4 linked regions of the Caenorhabditis elegans genome follow. The protein of the gene in region 4 interacts with the protein of the main gene of each other region in a pairwise test. Each region holds a gene or a part of one and is shown on either strand. Other genes may lie near its edges.

Region 1 (7,461 bases), on a different chromosome or scaffold from region 4:
AGTCCCGCGCTAGACTTCACCTCAATCCGTCCCGTCTGTCGACCCACCCGTCCACCCGTCAGACCGCCAGAGGCTGTTTTATATCTTGGGAAACGGTTTCCGTCCGGCGATTTGATTATTTCTTCTCCCTCTTTTCTCTCATTCAAACAGTGTGTCCTGAAGTGATTGTCGCAGAAATGAGGCAAACGAGGTAAAGACGAGGGAGAAGGCAAGGCGGAGAGTTCAGAAGTGTAGACAATTCCTCCTGTGCATGCACTGTCCTTTTCTACACCATTCTTCCACCGCCGTTGTGTGTTGCACGTTAGGGTGCATTCAATTTGAGGAAACGCAGAAACGGAGAGACAGTGCGCCCTCGCACTCGCATACGGAAAAAGGACTGCCCGGGGCCGACAATGGTGCGCGTACAGGGCCGCATAACGTCATCGTATGCTAACCTCCCAATTACGCCACGGGCTCATGGGACTATTTCCTTTCTTAGAAACAAAATGTTTTTCCTTCACATATAATGTCTTTATTAACATCATCCTGATCATTAGAGTTGATCATCATGTACTTCTTGTTCAAATCTCTCTTGGTTTGTGGCTCAATGAATTACGGCACGAGCAGAACATCACGTGGCACTACATCATTTCTGCTTCTGGGACTACTGCCAGCGTTTTTCATAAACCATGTGTCCTCACTAGATCTCATATAAATTCCATTTGTAAGAAAGAGAAAAACCTCACTTGTCGACAAGAAAATCAAACTAACCAGCTGATGTGTGTTGGTTTTCGACACCAAAGCATCGGCCGATGATTCAGAGACCTTATTTTTGTTGCTTTCAATTCCAAAACGAAACCAGCCACCTGTTCCCTGTGCTAGAGAACGTGTCCCAAATGTTCGAGAAAAACATGAACCACGCTGACAGATGTTTTTGTTACAAATATATTATATTTTGTTCTTAATTCGAAATATTTCCTAGTCGTGCTCCCGTTTCGTTTTTCTGTCATCCAAGCATATTAGTATACACAAAAGTTTGCAAATATGTGTTCCTTGCCTGTCCTCCTCTCACTTCCCACTCGTAACTACCATCGATCGCTCTCTCCCTTCACTGTATTTGTGTTAGCGAGCACACTCATTTGCTCGTCTCCCCTTCTCGTCCGTCCACCAGCACCCCCCCCCCCAAGTATCACAAGGGAAGGCTATCTCCTCTATATATTTTGTTCTCCATTTTCCTCTGTATTCTTCTAGTCTCGTGTTGGCGCCAAAAACCCTACGGCGTCACACAAACACTGACAAATACCACACACTATTCTTGGTACAAGCCATTCTGAGGCCTATTGGCAGCTTAAGCTCGTTTTCCATGCCCCGCATCGGATCCCCTTGGGATCTGTCGCATCAAGGGCATCCACCAATCATCCTGCTTGTTGGGGGAATCTGGTGCTCTGTTGCTGTCAAAACTGACAGAAAAGGAATTATGCACCAACAAAGAGCATGTACAATTGTGGTTTTAGACGTTTTTTTCACTTGGTTTTTTGATTTTGTATTTTGTGACTTGATTCTCATCACAGTTCTTTCTTATTCCCTTTGTACTTGAATCCAATTCTTGTTCATAATTTCATAATTTCAGGGTACCTGCTTGCCATCAACTTGGACTAACGTGATCGGTGCAAAACGTGCTCAATCGCTTTTGAATCAATATCTAGCAAATCTACTCACCAACAACTGAACGTTTCCATCCTTTTGTTGTTTACGTCCCTCTTTGGACGCCAAAGAAAGAACTATGGACTACCATTCCAACGGGAATGGAATCAATGGGATGAATGGTTCAAGTCGTCATTCGGCGGATGGACCGTCCACTCCAACTCACTCTGGAAATGGTCATAGTAACGGAGAAGGAAATAGGTACGCTTTGAGTGCTCATCGTAACGTTGTTAAGCCGTTAGGTTCAAACTTTGGAGCCAGTGGCTCTGCAACAACTTCCACCCCAAAATCAGTTATCTCCTCGCTAACCTCTGCATGTAACAACTCGCCTGTCTTATCATTCACTCGTGGTGTGCTTCGTGCTAGTCGTAAAAAGATTCGCCCATTGTTTTCTACATTTTCCACCTCGTCAAATACTGGATACTACCGTTTCGAAAGCCCTTCGTCAAGTTTGAACGCCTACTATCCTCAAGAATCGTTCAATGGACCAATCCTCAAAATGATCACATGCACAGAGTCACCACCGAGAAGTCTGGATGTTTTGAAACGCTCGAAAAGGTTTTGCTTTTTGCTTTTTGGGTGTGGATGTCTGATAATTTTCAAACTACGGCATGATTCTTTCCCTCTGTAACAGCTTGAACTTTTTCACCGCACCTCTGTTTTTGGAGCTGAAATTTTGTAGTCTCATGCATGCCACCGCCTTTTTTAATGCTCTCACTACTTTCAAAAAACTAACATTCGAACTTTATTTGAAGGAAAAAACTGAATGTCTGTACAACTCTTGTTATTAAAATTTTTGTAAAATATCATTTTCAGCACTTATTGGGAGACAGCTCCTGCTGAAATGGTTGAATTGGCAGATAAGTACAACTTCACTATCAACGAAGGTAGCAGCATCCAGCAAGAAGCTCTTGAACTTCGATCTGTGATTCGGAAGGATTTGACCAAAAAACTGAAGATCAAGAGTGGATATAGTCGTATCAAGCTGATCACTTCGGATCGTCGTCAAAGCGAATTTCTTCGTTATGAATTGTCTGATTTAAACGAGCAAATTGCGGATCTTCAGGAAGATCTTCAGGCGTTGGAGATGTACAACAGTGGAGCTTTTGGTAAGACATGCAGCAAATAAAACATTTCGTTTCAAAATTTATCTTTCAGATGAGGATGTGATGTATTTGGATAACCTTGAGGATTGTGATGTGGAGAATGGACCACCAAGTAAGCTTGTTATTCTCCAGCTTGAATTGGAAAAAGAGTTGAAAGTGAAACGAGGACTTGAGCAATTTTTGCGTGGAGCTCCAGACAAGTCAAAAGTGCATGGTGACTCACAGAGTCTTCTTGACGATAGTCGCGCCAAGATTGCAATGCTCCGTATGCAAATTGAACGTCTTTCACAAGAAGCACCAGCGGTTGAAGGAGAGCCAAAAACTAAAGTTGAGCTTGCCATCGATGATCTCATCATTCGTTTTCACAAGGAGAAGCTCATCATGGATGGTTCCCGAAACATGATCCGTATTCTCCGCTCAAAAAGGAAGCCAGATAGCAAAGCTGTCGATGAGGCCATGAACAGCTATGTTATTGCTTCGGAGAAAGCCGATCTCATCAAGTTGGCCTTGCTGAAGTATGCATCCAGTCTTCCACTTGAACACGATCACAGAAAATATCTTATTGGAGAGATTAACAGTGGACTCATCCCAAAACCACCTTCTCTCAGCCAGGATCGTAACAGTCCATCCAGCGAAGATGGTGGAAACGGAACTTCTACATCTCGCCGTTGCAGTTTCATGCCATATTCTCTGCAAATCAGTGGATGTCTTGAAGTCACTATCAACGGCTGCGCTGGTATTCTCAGCGAGGTCTTCGAGCGGAAAATCCGCAAAGATGTTCCCGGAGTTCCTGGTTTCATTTCAGTCTACGGAATGGATGCGTCTGGAAAGAAGAAGAAATCTGCAAGAGGTCCAAACAGTTCAGAGGAAGTCTTCTGTGTTCTTCGTATTGACAATCGTTTCATTGGAGCTACAGAGTTGAGAAAGATTGTTGATCGTAATTGGGATCAGAAGTTTGATGTTGATTTGGATCGTGTAAGTTCACAGATAGTGAAATTGAAATACATATCAATAGTACATACCTGAGTAAAAATTAAATTCTTTCAGTCTCGCGAACTTCAAATTGAACTCTTCTACCACGATGACCGTTCCATGTGTGGATTTGCTGCAGTTAAGCTGTCTAATCTTATTGAGACGTCGTCCAAGGTTGGAATTATTGTACCTGTTGAGCCACAAGGAAACATTTTTGTTCAATTCAAATACATGAACCCAGTGGTGAGCCGCAAGCCAAAACTCGAACGTCAGAGACGTTTGTTCCGCGTGAAAGGTGATTGAATAGCATTGCATAATGTCCTATGTCAACTATAATCTTTTTCAGAATCGAATGATGGAGCCCGTCAGAAACTTGGCGTCTTCGCGTTCTCGCGTCTCATCAAGAACAGAGGAAATGAGCCAAGCGAGAAGTTTGCTGCTTTCACTGGTATGTCATCACCAAGAGTTCACATTCCCTTTTTGCATAGGCTCAGTCATGCATGAAGCAGTGACTTGCTGATTTTAGATTTACTTGTATAAATAGATATTTACGGAGCTTAAAAAGCGCAGTTTTTTAAAATAAGCCACTATAGTTGTTATTATTTTCATGACTAAATTTGAAATGGATGATCTCCCTATTAAAAATTTCATCAGAAAGTGATTTCATTTTACATTTTTTGTTTTTTACCTTGTAACAATTTCAACAACAATGTCGAATTCCAGGATTTACTCCAATGCCTTCATCTTCATCTCAACATCAACCCGGCACATCATCTTCTGGCCCATCAACATCCTCGTCAATTGCTTCTACTCCTACACCATCCACGTCGAACTCGCTCTTCGACAAGGTCAGTAACCACTTGCCTGTGAGTAATTTTGGTTTTCTAATCGTGTTTGTACAACGTGCCCATAACCAGCTATCGTTTATATTATGTCAGTGAAAATTTATTCTATAGCCTTTATGATAATTTCGCTTGTTTTCGATTTGTGAACTGTGTTTTCTTCTTGAAGTGGTTTTTGGAGTGTTGTGCTAACATTCTTGAAATGTCATGTGAATTTCTCTCAATTATTAAAACTTGCAGAGCTTCAACCCAAGAAAGTCAGCCAAGAAGCGTGAGGCCAGAGAAGCAGCTGCAGTGGCGCCAATGACTGCTGCCGTTGCAGCAGTCAATCTCAACGCTCCTTCAACCTCCAATTCTATGCAGCCATCAACTCAAGAACGTAACCTGGTTGTTGATGAGTTCCCAACCGACCGTTCTGGTCCAAGTCAAGCACCGCCTGTGCCAGCCGTTCGCCACATTGATTTCTTCGCCAGCAGCGATGGTGCGCCGCTGACTGTTGAACAATTCAGATTGATCAGTGTTCTTGGACGTGGACACTTCGGAAAGGTCATCTTGTCACAACACAATCCAACTTCCAACTACTACGCCCTCAAGGTACTGAAGAAGGGAGACATTCTTGGAAGAGACGAGGTTGAGTCTCTGATGGTTGAGAAGCGTATCTTTGAAGTATCATCCCGAGCACGTCATCCATTCCTTGTGAATCTCAACGGCTGCTTCCAAACCAACGAGCACGTGTTCTTCTGCATGGAATACAGTATGGGTGGTGACTTAATGCGTCACATTCACGATGACGTGTTTGATGAAGTTCGTGGATGTTTCTATGCTGCATGTGTCGTTCTTGGACTGGACTTTTTGCACAAGCACAACATCATCTACCGTGACATCAAGTTGGACAATCTCCTCTTGGACAGAGAAGGATATGTCAAAATTGCCGATTTTGGTCTATGTAAAGAGAACATGGGACCATTTGACAAGACTAGCACTTTTTGTGGAACTCCAGAGTTTCTTGCTCGTAAGTTTATAATTTATCCATTGAAAAATGTTAATGAATGTTCTTTTTCAGCTGAAGTCTTGTCTGATTCTTCATACACTCGTGCGATTGACTGGTGGGGACTCGGAGTTCTTATTTTCGAAATGCTTGTAGGAGAGCCACCATTCAGTGGAGATGACGAAGAAGAGATATTTGACTCGATTATCTCCGAAGACGTTCGCTATCCAAGATATTTGTCTGTTGAGTCGATTGCCATTATGAGAAGAGTGAGTTATAAACGAGCATGATGTCATTGAATTACAAATTTATTGTTTCAGCTCCTTCGCAAGGTGCCTGAAAAACGTCTTGGATACGGAGAGCGAGACGCTGAAGATATCAAGATTCAACGATTCTTCCGTCACATCTCATGGGAATGGGACAAATTGCTGAATCGTGAGATTCGTCCACCATTCCAACCACAAATTGTCAGTTTTTGTTAAATGTTCAAATAATTTACTATTCTCTTTCCTGTTCTCAACATACAGTTTCGCAATTGAGTCATTGTTATAATTCAATTTTCAGCGCAACCCAGAAGACGTGTCTAACTTTGACCTGGAATTCACCCAAGAGAAAGCTCGTTTTTCTGCTGCTTCGAGCACTCGTCCAATCACTGAAGCCGATCAGCGTTTGTTCAACAATTTCGACTTCTCCATTGTTCCATAAGTATCATAATTTGTCACCGGTTTTCTATTGATCAACTTGTACCATGGGATTTATTTCATTTCTTGTTTCTACTTGTCAAGGTCTTGTTTTTTAAACTGTCAACTAGTATTGTCAAAAATTTTGATTTCGCTTTCTATTTTAGTTTTTTCTCCGTATTTTTCAATTTCGTATTCTCGTTTAACGATTTCTCCTGTCTGATAGTTGTAATTTCTTGTGAACTGCTCTGTGATCAGACTCCAACTCAATCTTCCCAAAATGTGTTTCTTTTTACTATTTGCTAGAATATTTCAAAAAATATTCTTTCATCTGCATTGGTTTTTTTAATTCAACGTCATCGTGTTTTGTCATTAAGTAGTTTACCCCGTCTCTATTTCCGCTTTGTAATCCTCAAAAATTAACACATTCTGTTAAATTTCCACCAAATTATTGTATTGTAACTTTTTGTAGACCGCTTGACGAGTGCGCTTATTCTTTTTTTTGTCTTTTTAGTCCAACAGACTTCCCATTTTACATCCATTTAGCCCCTCTTTTCAGCCATTGGTATATACTGGCCACTTTTTATTTGTGTTTTGTAAGAAAAAAAGAAAAAAGAAAATGACTTTCTTTCTTGTATTTAGGAGACATGAATAAACAATTTGTCAAATACATTGCGTAGTTACAAATGAACATATTGGAAACTAATTGAAGTTGGCTCAATATGGGGAAAATGTTAAGACAATTTTATTTACACAGGTGGTTGGACAATGAGCACACGAGATTGATTATTGCATTCTCCGGCTCGCTCCTTTTCAGCATCAAACTGTACCAAAATAAGAAAATATGTGAAAATTGCAGAGAACAACTGAAATATTTTAAATATCAACTAAAAACCAGCTGCACGCCTTTAAACGTACACTGATCATAATTTTGCGATTCATCATGAAGAAATTCCCGGCGGTGAGAGTAAGCTTTGTAGCATGCATTTGAAACGAAAGAAAACTCATTTGAGACTGAAAGTAGAATTGATCGATTTTTTTTTGAGATAACGAACACACCAAAACTAGAAGATCACGTTCCTCACATAGAGTTTCGTGATACATTTTGAAAGAAGCGGTTAGAAGTTTGTCGCCCTGTAATTATTAATTTTTATTTGTACAACTTAATGTTTGGATATCAATTTTGAATT
Region 2 (4,674 bases), on a different chromosome or scaffold from region 4:
TATTGAAAACGTCTTGTTTGAAAAAGAATCTGTAAAATATTCTGAAACAATCAACATTTCGGAAATTTATTTTAAAAAATCGCAAACAACTCTTTTGAATATGAATATGAAAATGAAAATGAATATGAATTATGAATATGAACTAGGAGCACGTAACCTTGAAAAAGCTCAGAACAAATGGTGTGGTTGAATGTGAACATAAACCAGAAAAAAAAACAATCTAAACATATCAGTTCATAACTTTGTTTCTTGACTAATAGTGGTGAAAATCACCAAATTTTACTTATTTGATCTGACCAGCACAAGTTTTCTGCTTCTTTGGTTTTGTATCCCTTTGTGCCCGAGTAATTGAATTGGTAACGTTTGAATTATTAAGTTGCTCTAGCAGCTGAAAGTTATTAAAAATATATCTTACATCGATATTAAATATTTCTCAACCCTTAGTTCCGTATTGAAAAAGAAAATCAAGAATTTGAAAACCTTCAACCGAAGATTTTTGATTTTCACTTTTAATAATCCATAGCTTCCTGAAATACTTTATTTAACAAAACAGAGAACAAAAATAAATAAATACGAGAAAAATCGCTAAAGTCACAAAACATGTATGGATGTAACGCAGTTAGACGAGTTATCTGGTGAGAACACCCGTTACAATTAAAACAAAATTGCATGGTGAGAGTAAGTTTTTGGTGTCGATGTATGTAGAAAATTCATGATTTTAAAGCTCGGTCTTATCGAGGTCAATGTCAGACAAGTCGATGTCGTCTTCAGCTGGAAGGGCTCCGTCCTTTCCGTCCCACTTCTCAGTCTTCTGAATCTTTGGGAATCCATCTCCTCGAAGGGAAGAAGTGCGTCCCTTTCCATACGAGAGATCACGGAGGAACTCGTGGATTCCATCTTTTCCGAAGGATCCCTTGAGCACGGCGTACTTGTTCTTGCGGAAGTTCAAAGCAGTCATGGCTGGATATCCAAAACCTCCAACTTCGAAGGACTCCTCAAGAGCTGGCTGAGCGGCTCCTTCAACCCAAATCCATCTGAAATTATTTAAATTAGAATGAAATTTTGTAAAATTATATAAAACATACCCCCAAAGGTTCTTCTTGAATTTCTCGGATTGCTCCTTGAGCATAGCCAAATAATTGTTTCTGCACTCCGATTGGCAGTCAAGAATGTGTGGGAGGAAGGCAAAAATGCAAAGCTGTTTCTCCTTGCATGCATCCTCTACGACTTGTTGGTTGATTCCTTCAAAGACCTCTGGAGCTGGCATGTTTTCTTGAGCACGAGCTGAAGCCCAGGCAACGATGTCAGAAGATTGACGTCCTCCATCGTAGTCTTGAGCGTCAGAAACATCAGATCCTGGAGCGAAATACTTGATGGTTGGGAATCCACGAATGGCGAACTTGTTGGCGACGACAGTATGAACAGTGGCGTCGAGAGCTCCGAGACGAACTTTGCCCTTGAGTTCAGAAGCGGCGGCCTTCCATTGTGGCTCAAGGCTTTTGCAGTGTCCGCACCATGGGGCAAAGAACTCGACAAGCCAGATATCCTTGCTGTTGAGAACGAGATCCTCGAAGTTGGCATCAGTAAGTTCAACAACTTCATTTCCAGATCCACCTCCTCCACGCTTTCCAGATCCAGATCCGGATCCACTGCTGCTGCTTCCTGATGATTTTCCTCCAAGCCGAGCAGAGACTGCCTTTTTGGCTTCAGCGAGAACCGAGTCAGCGATTGCCTGAGCAGTTCTTTGTCCTGCAAAAATAAATCAATATCATCTTGGTCTTTTTACACACATACACAGACACACGCACGCTCTAAATGACCCAGATCGCTCAGAGGCCGGCGTCTCTCCTATCTTCCACCCTATAGACTGGTACGCACAATTACTTTGCCGCAAGGTCGTCCACATCTATAGAGCGGATCGGCCAAACATAATATCTGAGCAAACAGTTACTAAACACACAACTAGTTGCGGCCAGCTCAATTGACTGACCGACAGTGCACACAGAAAATAGTTCGAGTGGGGAGAGGGTGGAAATGAGACAAATCAGTTTTTGTTTGCCGTACCGGCTTGTGACTATTGTCCTTTTTCAGTTATTTTTGTGCAAGTTTGTCGACAACCAATCCAAATTTCCGCTTGTAAATTATTAAGAAGAAATTGGATAATTGCTTACCGTTGTAGTCTGTTGGCTTCTTCTTGTCGGCTCCGAAGATCTTGAGAGTTGGGAATCCTTGAACATTGTATGGTCCTCCGACGGATTGATGTTGAGTCATATCAACGGCTCCAACCTTGGCGACTCCCTTGAGTGCTGAAGCAGCTTTCTTGTATTCTGGGACCAGACTCTTGCAGTGACCGCACCATGGAGCATAGAACTCAACAATCCAAATATCATCAGAGTTGATAACCTTTGATTGGAAATTGGCCTCGGTCAGCTCGACGACATCATCCTTTTTTGAGTACATTCCACATACCGAAGTTATCGCTGCAAAATTTTAATTAATTTAATATTAGTTTTGTATAAAATTCTTTTTTCCTAATCAAAAACACCAAATGAAGAATACTTCACATTTTCTAAAACAAAAACTTACCCAAAGATGCGAGGAGCAACTTGATGAGAGCCATGACGATCCACTAATCTCACTGGTTTGTCTGTGAGACCGTACAGAATGGGGAGCGATTCCAAACTGAGTCAAATGCGTGTACAGAGGGCGGGAGTGTGACGTTGCGCGTCGTGTGTGTGCAGTTGATTGGTCAACGTGTCGTACAGTAGAGCGCTTTGCGCAAATAGTTCTCGCCACGGCCCCGGCACAGGCATTAAATGGAGAGTTGCGAAATGCAATGAGAAAACTATGAGGGTTAGGGAAGACGTTTTAAAAAGAAAAATTTAATAAAAAAAATGTTTTTTTAACAGAATCTATTAATTTATCGAAATAACTGAAAACATTTCGATGATTACACGACAAAATAAAATTCCTCAGTGTTTGTTCTTTCTTGTTTTCAAAAATATTTTTACATCTAACATTTATAAATTGTTTATCTTGAAATAAACTTGTAACACTCTCAATGCCAAAAATAGTTATTTGGAATAAAGGTGTTAATTGAAGATTTCCAACAAAATAATCTTGCGATACGGTCAGTGGACCGTTCTTATTCCTTGTCTACATTAATTACCTACTGGAACTGTTCCCCACGGATGTTTTTGTATACGCATTTGCCGACGATATCAAGATACTCGGTGAAAATTCGGACTCTATGCAAAAAGCGATCAATGTCGTCACTGATTGGTGTGCAAAGTGAAACTTAAACTTGGCCGAGAACAAAACCAATGTCATACACCTCGGGAAGCGCAACCCAAGAACAGATTATCATGCGAATGGAATACAAATAATTAAAAAGTATTCAGTCAACGATCTAGACATTTTCGTGGATTGCAAGCTAAACTTCCAAAAACATATCGAATATGTATCAAATTCTGCTTTCCTCAAGTGTAGACAGCTTCTTCGATGCTTTCGCTTTACCAATGTCAGTTTGTACTTTAAGTTATACAACGTTTACGTTCAACCGCTGCTGAATTACGGATGTGAGGTCTACAACCCTAACTCCAAACGTCTGATAAAGCTACTTGAAATGCCGCTGAAATTCTATTCAAGAAGAGTGTATCAACGATGCAATGTCTCAAACACGTCGTACGATGATCGACTGGCTCAGTCAAATCAAAAATCCATTCAACACCAGCGAATTCTCCAAATATTAAGGACCTACCACAACATCTTATCTGGCGAATACCATTTTCCGGATGTCTCAGCACTAAAGAATTCCTCGGCAATTCCCGACAGCTTCTTCCCCAAGTTTGGGCCTTTTCAGCTTCTTACCCAACTCTTGCCAACTTCTAACCCAGAGTATGCCCAAGTCTTACCCAACTTCAGCAATTCTAGTGTAAACTCCCTCGCCCGAGTTCTGCCCAAGCCTTAGCCAAGTTTTGCCAACTTCTTACCCAAGTTTGCAGATGTAAAGAACGAACAAGATTCCGAAATTCCACATGCGCAATGTTTAGCGTAAATCGACACTTTGTCTTTTGATTAATTTGTATTTACAATAGAGGAATTTCAATGTAATTGAAAGAATTCACAGGAAAACTTGTCCCTTCAAAGGCAAATTCTAAATATTTTTCTTTGATGGCTAACATTGTTAAAGAAAATGTACGAACAGAGTCTGATTTTTATTGCCATTTTATCTAATAAACCATATAATTTATCTAAAAATAAAAAGAAAAGTTATCTTCAGGAAGATTCTTCTCCTAGTCAGTCCAATAGTCAGATAATAGTCAGTCAATCCTATGCATCAAATTTTGAATTTTTCTAAGACTGAACTGTTCCTTTGAAATGTAAACTTTTATAAAATTAAGAGACATGAAACAAACACGAATTACAGTAATTCTCTAAATTCTGAACTTAGAATCATTAGGGAGCACACTTGAAAACAACTGAAACAAGGTATGTGAGAATACCGTATCAATCAGATATGTCTGGTACTTCCTCAAAAATATCTATCAGAATATGAGTACGATATATTATTACTAGTGTGCATCTTTTTGCGCGACCATCATGGCTCAGCAGGTAAGACTTCGGCACAACGGGAAATGAGATCAAAGTTCAACACACAGGTATAAATTGGGT
Region 3 (4,354 bases), 2.4 Mb from region 4:
TTAATTTGTCAGTCTCGAAATGCTAAAGTTTCAGCTATTAAAATGCTCGGAAATATATATATACCAGCCGTGGACCGCACCTACGGCGCGGCCCCCGACTTTTTTGAGAAAACACATTAGATATACGGTGTCTATCGCGGACCTCGATCGATGTCTGCTGCGCATTTAGCATAAGGTTTCCCAAAATTTCGTTGCTCTGATCAGAGATCAAACTACATAGGGACAGAAGGACACGCGCTTTATATATAGTAAATGATGATATATATATATATTTTTTTTAATTTATTTAAATATCTTGAAATTTACCTTTAAAGCATCAAAAACGGGCTCTCCTCCGGGCAGCGGGGCAAAAAGAAATAACTTTTAATTGATCGGCTTTCGAAATTTGATTGCCACGTGCACTGGGTTCACGTGAACACGTTTTTAATTAAAACAAAACTTTATCAAAACTTCAAGGTGTGCCTTTCAACTGAAGTTATTTACCAACTGTTACGTCTGTTCAACATGTCTCAACATTCTACACTTTGTATTTCAAAATTAAAACGGTTGAAGGCATTTCTTTATCAAAACTGAAAACAGAAAAAAACGGGATAGGATGCAAACGGAAAAGCAGCAAAACATTTACGGGTATTAAACACACATGATGGGCAATTAAAACTTGACATCATCTTAAGAGACCTTATTGGGATGAAGCAAAACCATAAAGTAACAATTTTCGTCAGGCGGTAGAGCAGGAAGTATTATGAACTGTCTTTGTCAATCGTAGGTATTGATTAGCGGACAGCCATGACCTGTAACAGAAGGTTGTAGAAAAGAAATAAGTTGTGAATAAACTTACAATGTCATCAATCTTGAGAATTGATCGAACACATTCCGATGCTTGCTTGATAGCTGATGCTGTAACAAGAAGTGGCTGCACAACATCTTCTTCAACCATATCTGTGACATATCCCTTGCGTACGTTTACTCCATAGGAACTGTTTCCATTAGCATGGTTGTTTCTCAACTCCGTAACAGTGTGAATTGGTGACAATCCTGCGTTTTCGGCAAGTGTGTATGGAATCTGTATAACGTAACCATCATTGGTTTTAATTACTTTCAATGTAACTTACGAGCTCAAGTGCATCAGCAAATGCTCTCCAGCAGTATTGCGTAGCTCCGTGTTGGGTTTGTGCCAGATTTCGGAGTTTTACAGCGATTTCCATCTCTGGAGCTCCACCTCCTGGCAACAAAGCCTTCTTCTTAACCAGGCATCGAATCACACAAAGAGCATCGTGGATAGATCTGTCAGCCTCCTCAAGCACCAACTTGTTTGATCCACGAAGAAGAATAGAGACAGCATGTCCTGGATTTTGAACACCAGTCACCTTGATGACCTTTCCATCTCCTCCAGTTGGAATCTCTTCCACAAGATCAGCATATCCGAGTGCATCAGCATTAAAATGATCGACAGAGGCAACTGGTCGGCAACCGAGAATTCTTGAATAAAACTCGATATCCTCTCTTTCAATATCTTTGATGCACATGATCTTCATTTTGGCGAGGAAATGCAAGGCGAGTTCGTTGACAGCATCTCTAAGAATACTCTTTTGAATCAGAAGAACATTACAACCAGCAGCTTTAATCTGCTTGCAAATTTCTAGCAAGTATTGACGTTCTTCCTTCAAAGCACGATCCATTTGAGCATAATCAGTGATAATAACTTGATTTTCCATCTGAAATTTGAATGCGAATTTAAAAAATTAATTTCTTCAATCAACTCACGTCAGTTTTTGGGGGGCTAATCTGGAATTGAATGAGTCCAATCTTGGCTTTCTCAATTCTTGTTGGAGCACCACGTCCCATGGTTTTCTGATCAATGAGAGCTCCTTCGATGAGTTCGGATTCTTCAACCGTGTCTCCCATTTTCTTGATGATCTTGATCATTTTCAGGTTGACATTGGAATCGTTCTCTGAATTGATGATCTTCTTGACAGCATTAACTGCCATAGGTGCGAGCAACCATGAGTGTTGAGAAACAACCTTCGAGTTCAACGATGTTGTAGCCATCTTGTTGAGCAGAGCGTCATTTGACAAATCGACTGGTGAACTCATTTCGTCAAGAATCTTTTCAGCTTCGGCAGCAGCACTTTGGAAAGATTCAGAAATGGTAGTTGGATGAATACCTTTAGAAAGCAGGTTCTGAGCAGCATCAAGAAGAGCTCCAGCCATAACAACGACAGTAGTTGTTCCATCTCCAGCTTCGATATCTTGAGCTTTTGAAAGTTCGACGAGCATCTTAGCAGTTGGATGAATGACACTCATTTGGTTCAAGATGGTAGCCCCGTCATTGGTGATGGTAACATCCCCATTCCCGGACTGAATCATTTTGTCCATTCCTCTTGGACCCAAGGATGTACGGACGGCATCAGCAACAGCTTTTGCAGCAACGATGTTACTGAAAATGAACTAGTGATTTAAAAACAAAAAGGAACAAAGCTCACCTATTGCGAACACTCTCTGGCTTGTCCTTATCCTTGAAATTGCGCTCGCGACCGGAAGCCGATTGTCGGGCTGTTGCAGCTGCGGCTGGAACTGCTGGTGGCATCTGCAAATTAAATTATGATGTTGAAGTCAGACTCTCAGAAGAAATGAATAAAACAACTTTACGGATAGAGGGAATAATATTTTAAAACTTAATTCTAATGTTATTTTCGAACTTTTATTACATTAATTTTGATGAAAATATAGAAACAAATAATAATTCTTCTAGAAATTCTATAGCTTTTAAATTTAACGTTCAGTTTTCAAGCGGGAGCCAGAAAGATCTGTGGAAATACTGGTTTCGTGGCGAGACCCACTTGAGTTCACCAACGTGCCTCCCTTTAATTTATACTCGCATTCTTTTTATTTTCTGGCCTTGCTTGTCGATTTTCTTTCACATGTTATGTTTTGCTTTCGAAAAACGTTTTAAATAAATAATATAAACATTTAATTATATAAAATATATTACGATTTCTTGTTTCTCTTCCTCTTTCTTGTCGAAAAATCAATTTGTCTTTTTAAGAAACCAACAGTCAGCAGAGAATGGCGAAATACTGTCTGAGTAAGTTGATATACATTTGTAACAATATTATAAAATACCTCTTTTACAGAAAAAACCAGTAAGCGAGTCAGCTGCGCCAAGCGCTACAAAATTGAGAAGAAAGTTCGCGACCATAACAGAAAAGTGAAGAAGGAGGCTAAAAAGAATGGTAAGTAAAGTTTTAAAGAATGCAAATAAGGCTATTGAAATAATGGGAAAATTTTTTATTACAGGAACCACTAATAAAAAAGAAAAGACTATCAGTGTTCCGAATTCATGTCCTTTCAAAGAAGAAATTCTGGTCCAAGCAGAGCAGGAGCGCGAGAAGATAAAAGTTCGTCAGGAAGCTGCTAAAGAAGCTGCAAAAATTCATCGCATCGAAAAGAGAAAAAATAATTTGCCAGCCAATTTTGAAAGTATGGTCGCAAAAGCATCGAAACAAGGAACCGAATTTGATAAGAAAGTTGCCAGTGCTGCAGAACATGAGAAGTTCAACACCTTGGATGACAAAACAATCAAGGCTTATGCCAGTGAAGTTAGGAAGACTGTCGAGATTGCTGATGTTATTATCCAAGTACTTGACGCCAGAGATCCGCTCGGCAGTCGTAGCAAGTCTGTAGAGGATCAGGTCTTAAAAGGTGGAAAGCGATTGGTTCTTCTTCTTAACAAAATCGATTTGGTGCCCCGTGAGAACGTTCAGAAGTGGCTCGAGTATCTTCGCGGTCAATTCCCGACAATTGCTTTCAAGGCTTCAACACAAGAGCAAAAGTCGAATATTGGCCGTTTCAACAGCGCTATTTTGAACAACACTGAGACCTCGAAATGCGTCGGTGCCGACATTGTGATGAAAATTCTTGCTAATTACTGTAGAAACAAAGACATTAAAACTAGCATTCGCGTCGGAGTTGTTGGCTTCCCAAATGTCGGTAAAAGCAGTGTGATCAACAGTTTGAAGAGAAGAAAGGCATGCAACGTAGGAAATCTGCCAGGAATCACCAAGTAAGTTAAATTCAGTTGTTTTTCTAAGCTTATCAAATTTATTTTCAGAGAAATTCAAGAAGTTGAGTTGGACAAAAATATCCGTCTTATTGATTCCCCGGGAGTCATTCTCGTCAGTCAAAAGGATTTGGATCCAATTGAGGTTGCTCTTAAAAATGCTATTCGCGTCGACAATTTGCTTGATCCAATTGCTCCAGTTCACGCAATCCTTCGTCGTTGCAGCAAGGAAACTGTAAGTTTAAAACAATAATAATCGTCAAAAGCCTTGATTAAATTTTTTGAATTATTCAA
Region 4 (5,260 bases):
TAATATTCGTTTTTGAAAATCCGAATTTCTTACCCATTTCTTTGATGTTCCATACTCTTTCTGTACTCTTGACATCGTTTTACATTGCTATCATGAAACTTTTTTATTTGATGATTCTTACGAGATGAGTTGAACTTCTAAAAAAAAACAGTTTATAAAAAGTTTTCGTTCATCTTCAATTACCTGTAGAACAGCTGGAAACGGATCTCTAGGTGTCGTGAGACATACTGCAGAATCAGCACGTGAGATGTCTCCGCTTCCTCCTTCGTCACGATCTTCTAGACAAGAATTGTAGAACATTGTCTGAAATTTGTTCTAACTATTTCTATATTTGGTTCCCTACAGTACCTCCTGCGTGCATTGATCGAATTCCACAGAAATTCCAACATCGTCGTCTTCATTCATACCTGAATTATATTTTCCTATTTTCAAATACCACAACACATAAATAGAAATTCTGATGAATATAAATACAGATAATTGAATATCTTCTCAAAAATCAAACGACAAAAATTTATTCGAATTATTATTCGTCTCATAGAAGTATCATAATCAAAACACTAAAACTACTGAAATTGTCTAGAAATAACGAGAAAACAGCTCATCAAAATATCTACATTGAACCGATTACCAATCGTTCGAATTAAAAGCTATAGGACTGAGTGAATAAGGGGAAAAGCACCAAAATTAGTTAAATTCAGACTAGTCATTTTCATGGCGTTGGCGGAGAGTCCGATCGGAGATAAGAAGATGCAAATTGTTCGAGATTTCGGAGAAGAAACACTGCTTTTCCTCTGAAAATTAATTTTATTAATTCTTGACACAGATCTAAGAGGACATACTTGATTGTTCCCAATGTTCGAATTGTTGAATCAACTGCATCAATTTGTGTCTTCTGTACATCCAAATCGTTTTTCATTTCTCTATGGACTCCACCAACAGTTGCTTTCAATCCGTCAAAGACTTGGTCCATTTCTCTGAAAACAACAAATTGAATTGAAAACTATACGGTTTAAAAAATACCTGATAGCTTGTGTTTCACAGTGATGAGTATGAGCTGTTGAAACTTGTTGCATTCGAGCAGCTAAATGTGATCTGAACTGTTCTTTCAAATGTTGTTCCTTGGCTCCCGAATTCCAGCGCATTCGTTCCCATGCATATAGTCCAGCGTAGGCCGCTCCTCCGACAGCAATTACTCTCCAACCAACAGCCTTATACACAATACCACCAACAACTAGCACTCCAAGACTTCCGTTTGCTAAAAATGCGGCTGATGTCAAAACCATTTGAGTCATCATTGCCTGTTCTTCGGAAGCTGCAGAAGCTTCTGCATCTCTCACTGAATTCTTTTCGGATTGTTGTTTTAGTGATAATGGAGTAAGCAAATTGGTGTTGATTGCAGTGACAGGTTGGCCGCTTCGATACGCAATGATGCGACGAATTATTGCGTGTAGACCAAATGTGAATCGGAACTCGAGGTCTTCATGGAAATCACTGAAAAATGTAAGAATGAAACACAAAAAATCCATCGAAACTCACTTGACAAGAGCAGGGACATCGACACAAATGCTAAATTTGAAAGGAGCACGATATCGCCACACTTCTTCAAGCTTATTCTGATAAGGTTCGGCGAGGATTTTTGTCACATATTCTGGAAAAAAAATTTTTTATAACACATCAGTTCCCAGATAAACACTTACGGAACATATCATTCTCCAAATTCCAAATTCTTGACATTAGGCCACCGGTACATCTAGCTTCCAAATCACTGCTCAAACATTTGTCCACAAAGATTGCCAAATCCTCTTTATACTTTGTCATTCCGGAAGAGCTTCCATCGAAAGGTTGTTCAAATCGATCAATTATTGCATCAAGTCGTGCTATTTCTTCAAAGAAATCAGCAGAAACTTTCAGATGAACTTCGGCTCGCAGTTGCTCTGTCTGCTCACGGTAAGCTTTTTCAAATTGAGTGAAGTTTACACGGCATTCATTGAAAGTCCTGGTGGATTCGTTTAGATTATTCTGAAGCTTGCTTCTCTGCTCAGCTGCAGAGGTTAGCACGCTATTCAGATTGAGCCGCATTTTTCCGATCATTTCATGAGCTCTCCTGTTATGAGCTTCGAATTTCGTGTGAATCGCCGATCGAGAGATACAATGCTCAAAATGTCGTTCGAAATTTTGGAATTCCAAGGCTCTTGTGCCATGACCTTCTGCTTGATAGGCTTTTTGTACCAGTCCCCTAGCTTTTAATCGTGATTCCAAAACTTCTCTCGATGAAACAAAGAAGATTCGATCATTGACTTCTCTTTCTGAGCACACTTCAAGCTCATCGACCAAAAACTGACGGAATCTCGTCAAATGCTGCTTTTTTACATCTTCGATGTTTTCTGTTTCTGCTGCACTGGCGTCCCATCGATTATTGAGAATAAATACGTTGGGCTTGCTAAGCTTCTTCGCGACTCGAAGGAAGAAGTTCTTTTCGGCTTGTGTCAATGTTGATTCCGCATTTGATACAAGCACAAATACATCTGCATCTAAACAATGTTTGTCAATCCAGCTATCGAATTCTGGAGAAAGATCGACACCAGGGCTATCAAGTATGACGACGTCGTTTTGAAGAAGTCGGCATTCCCCTGATTCCGATTTCTTTGGATGAAACACTTTCAAAAGAGAATCCTGTCCCATTGCCGGAAGATCTGAATTTTCGTCACTCAGTGCGTGTCCAATTTTTCCAAGCATTTTCATATCAATCTTTTGGGGATTATCATCTAATTGTAGATGGCCAACTTCGCCTTCTGAACCTTCAACCTGGAAATTTCAAAAATTTACAATAAAATATGAAAAAAAAGTGATTCTCACCTGCAGAAAGCAACATGTTGTATGTCCCATTCCCTGGGGCAACACTTTCTCATGAAGCATCGCATTGATAGTTGTACTCTTTCCGTTGCTGGTTCTTCCGAAAAATACAACCTTCATGTTATCTCTTTGAAATGTGTCCATTATAGTTTTGATTGAATCGCCAATTGCTTCGATTTCTTCCCGCTGTTCAGAACTAACAAAGTCGTTCTCTTTAATATCTGGAACTTTTGTGGGTTTATATTTGCGGCGAAGTAAAAAACAGAAAATACCTTTGTAAACACCTTCTAGTTCAGCCACATTGTCTTTCAGTTCTCCATAGACATCCCCAAGAACCTTTTTAGCTTCTCGAAATCGAAGAAGTGGTTCATTATCGGCAGCACGACGCGAATTTTTCACTGAAAAGTTTATTGCATTGTTTTTTGAAAGGTTGAATAAACATACAGCTGTGAAGTCCACGATGATTAGAATCACCACTGGCCGGCAGAGTATGAACTAAGCTTGCTGTGCCAGACATTACCTGAAAACTTAAATATATTTAAAGTCTCATAAATCAGCCGGAAATTCGATTCGAGGATTACGAAATCGCTTAAAAGTCTAGAAAACATTAAATCTTATTTGAAATATCGAAAAGGTTATACAAACATCAAATTATTCATTGGAATAATAAAAAAAAATGAAAAGGAACACTCGAATTATCAGAGAATTTCCATTTCTGTCTCCGTCGCGAGCAAAAAAAGAATGTTCACTGGAGCGCGCTCTCTGTACACAAAAGAATCGATTATCGGGAGACAACGATTTGTGAGAAAAATTAGTTGTCTATCGAACTATTTTTGATTAAGAAAAGTTACTGTGCTTTAAATTGCCGTTTTAAACATTAAAAGATATAAATAAACTTTATGAAAGCAGTTTGTAGAAAATTTGTGAATAATGCTTGCTGCAAATTTTTTAATCAGCAAGCCCCCGTTCTTGAAATTCTGCAGTGTCTCTTCTTAAACTTCTGATTGCTTTTTGGATTTATATATTTAGAAAGCAAAAACAATCGAAACATTTCTATTGATTTAGCGGTATTCTATTAAGTTTGAAGTAAAAAAAAACATAAAAAACATTTATTCACTAAATAATTCACTAAAGTACACCGTACATGCAATGAGACCGGATGCAGGAATGCAGAAAAATCATAATTATAAATAGGAAACAATATTCAGGAACAATCCATATTGTCGTTGAAGGTACATTCGTCATCCGAAAGGCTTAACGGAATTTTTGGGCGATTACTATTTGGCTTGGTCGTCTTGACTACGTTTCCATTTTGAGATGATTGATATGTTGATGAGGGATATGTCTTTCTTGGTTTAAATGATTCCGAGTTTGAGGAAGACGGTTGAAGAGTGATCTCGTCTGCTAGTGGGATCGATGGTCGAGATTTTCTGGGAGCCTGAAAACATATTTTAATTTACAAAATAATAATTTTTTGTTACCTCTACTTTGTTTTCTTTAACAAAACCAGCATTGCGACCAGCATCTTTTTTGGCTAAGTCGTTGATCCAACTTTCCAATTCGCGATGTTTCTTTACACTTTTAACAGCTTCGTTCCTTTTGTATTTTATGTCGTTGCTAGTGTATTTGTTAGAATGAGAATTAGCATGATGTTCTTTCCTAGTAGTTTGTCTTCTATCAGAATTCGAAGACTTCCTTGAACTATTTAGTTGATCCGAATCCGTTTGTTGTTTCTTCCGACCATGAATGGTGTCCATGAATGATTTAACTGTCTCAACGTGCAGATCATGAGTCAGTGCTTTGTTTGAAAGATTCACATCCTCGGTGACGAGTATAATAGCACGATCATTGAGGTTCATTGTAGATGGAATTGACATTACTGAAAATTGTGGTATATTCTCGAATCTTAATTTAAGAAAAAAACTTACTTTCTCTTTTTATTCGCAATGCAGTTCTTAGAATCAAATCATCTACAACAGTTGTGTTTGCACTGAAGCCGTTTATCTGAATCTGTTGCTCTGTGCTCGTCTCGACATGCAAGTACTGATTCTTCTCTTCCAGAAGATCTTTTATACTATTATTTGCACAATTAGCTACAATTCGAGTGTGTCCTGATCCGTTTTTAAGACCATCTAGCTCAGATAATGTAAAATATGGAATGACTGTGAGAATTTGTTCTGAAAATAATAGAAATTTCAATAATAATATCATTCTCTATATTTTACTTTCGATGGAAGCATTGAGAACATCAGGATTTCCCAGAAGAGCACAGGTATCGAATATGGCACACGCACGATAATGCAAATCTTTGAATGGTCGAACTTCAGAAGACCATGGAACACGTGGTAGCATTTTATTGGAATGAGATTCTACCTGCAACTGATTTTTATTTTAAAAGAGCTTA

Evidence for each region.
Region 1: the proteins of fzo-1 (region 4) and pkn-1 interact in a two-hybrid assay, tested with the Caenorhabditis elegans proteins (one large-scale study listed by BioGRID).
Region 2: the proteins of fzo-1 (region 4) and pdi-6 interact in a two-hybrid assay, tested with the Caenorhabditis elegans proteins (one large-scale study listed by BioGRID).
Region 3: the proteins of fzo-1 (region 4) and cct-4 interact in a two-hybrid assay, tested with the Caenorhabditis elegans proteins (one large-scale study listed by BioGRID).

What each region holds. Positions count from the first base shown.
Region 1 is NC_003284.9:10,395,634-10,403,094, forward strand, and holds pkn-1 (protein kinase C), read left to right. Parts: upstream 1-1,608; 5' UTR 1,609-1,762; coding exon 1,763-2,241; intron 2,242-2,499; coding exon 2,500-2,792; intron 2,793-2,841; coding exon 2,842-3,764; intron 3,765-3,836; coding exon 3,837-4,056; intron 4,057-4,107; coding exon 4,108-4,209; intron 4,210-4,484; coding exon 4,485-4,627; intron 4,628-4,843; coding exon 4,844-5,615; intron 5,616-5,666; coding exon 5,667-5,860; intron 5,861-5,911; coding exon 5,912-6,058; intron 6,059-6,155; coding exon 6,156-6,296; 3' UTR 6,297-6,943; downstream 6,944-7,461. Other genes in the region: gur-3 (Gustatory receptor family protein 3), read right to left, coding at 7,021-7,137, 7,190-7,285, 7,331-7,405.
Region 2 is NC_003284.9:7,065,821-7,070,494, forward strand, and holds pdi-6 (Protein disulfide-isomerase A6 homolog), read right to left. Parts: upstream 2,744-4,674; 5' UTR 2,621-2,743; coding exon 2,587-2,620; intron 2,481-2,586; coding exon 2,172-2,480; intron 2,090-2,171; exon of another isoform or gene 1,949-2,089; intron 1,750-1,948; coding exon 1,086-1,749; intron 1,035-1,085; coding exon 719-1,034; 3' UTR 522-718; downstream 1-521. UniProt on the Caenorhabditis elegans protein: May function as a chaperone that inhibits aggregation of misfolded proteins. May negatively regulate the unfolded protein response (UPR) through binding to UPR sensors.
Region 3 is NC_003280.10:8,281,901-8,286,254, reverse strand, and holds cct-4 (T-complex protein 1 subunit delta), read right to left. Parts: upstream 2,589-4,354; 5' UTR 2,588-2,588; coding exon 2,484-2,587; intron 2,438-2,483; coding exon 1,765-2,437; intron 1,716-1,764; coding exon 1,113-1,715; intron 1,064-1,112; coding exon 839-1,063; intron 792-838; coding exon 774-791; 3' UTR 544-773; downstream 1-543. Other genes in the region: nst-1 (Guanine nucleotide-binding protein-like 3 homolog), read left to right, coding at 3,067-3,085, 3,135-3,233, 3,298-4,063, 4,112-4,295. UniProt on the Caenorhabditis elegans protein: Molecular chaperone; assists the folding of proteins upon ATP hydrolysis. Known to play a role, in vitro, in the folding of actin and tubulin.
Region 4 is NC_003280.10:5,832,828-5,838,087, forward strand, and holds fzo-1 (Transmembrane GTPase fzo-1), read right to left. Parts: upstream 3,377-5,260; 5' UTR 3,374-3,376; coding exon 3,301-3,373; intron 3,255-3,300; coding exon 3,129-3,254; intron 3,078-3,128; coding exon 2,860-3,077; intron 2,809-2,859; coding exon 1,701-2,808; intron 1,652-1,700; coding exon 1,540-1,651; intron 1,495-1,539; coding exon 1,024-1,494; intron 978-1,023; coding exon 843-977; intron 795-842; coding exon 713-794; 3' UTR 501-712; downstream 1-500. Other genes in the region: gtap-1 (Dynein heavy chain 7, axonemal), read right to left, coding at 34-137, 184-303, 349-405; ZK1248.15 (WW domain-containing protein), read right to left, coding at 4,061-4,294, 4,338-4,735, 4,785-5,033, 5,082-5,229. UniProt on the Caenorhabditis elegans protein: Probable transmembrane GTPase. Mediates mitochondrial fusion. Fusion of mitochondria occurs in many cell types and constitutes an important step in mitochondria morphology, which is balanced between fusion and fission.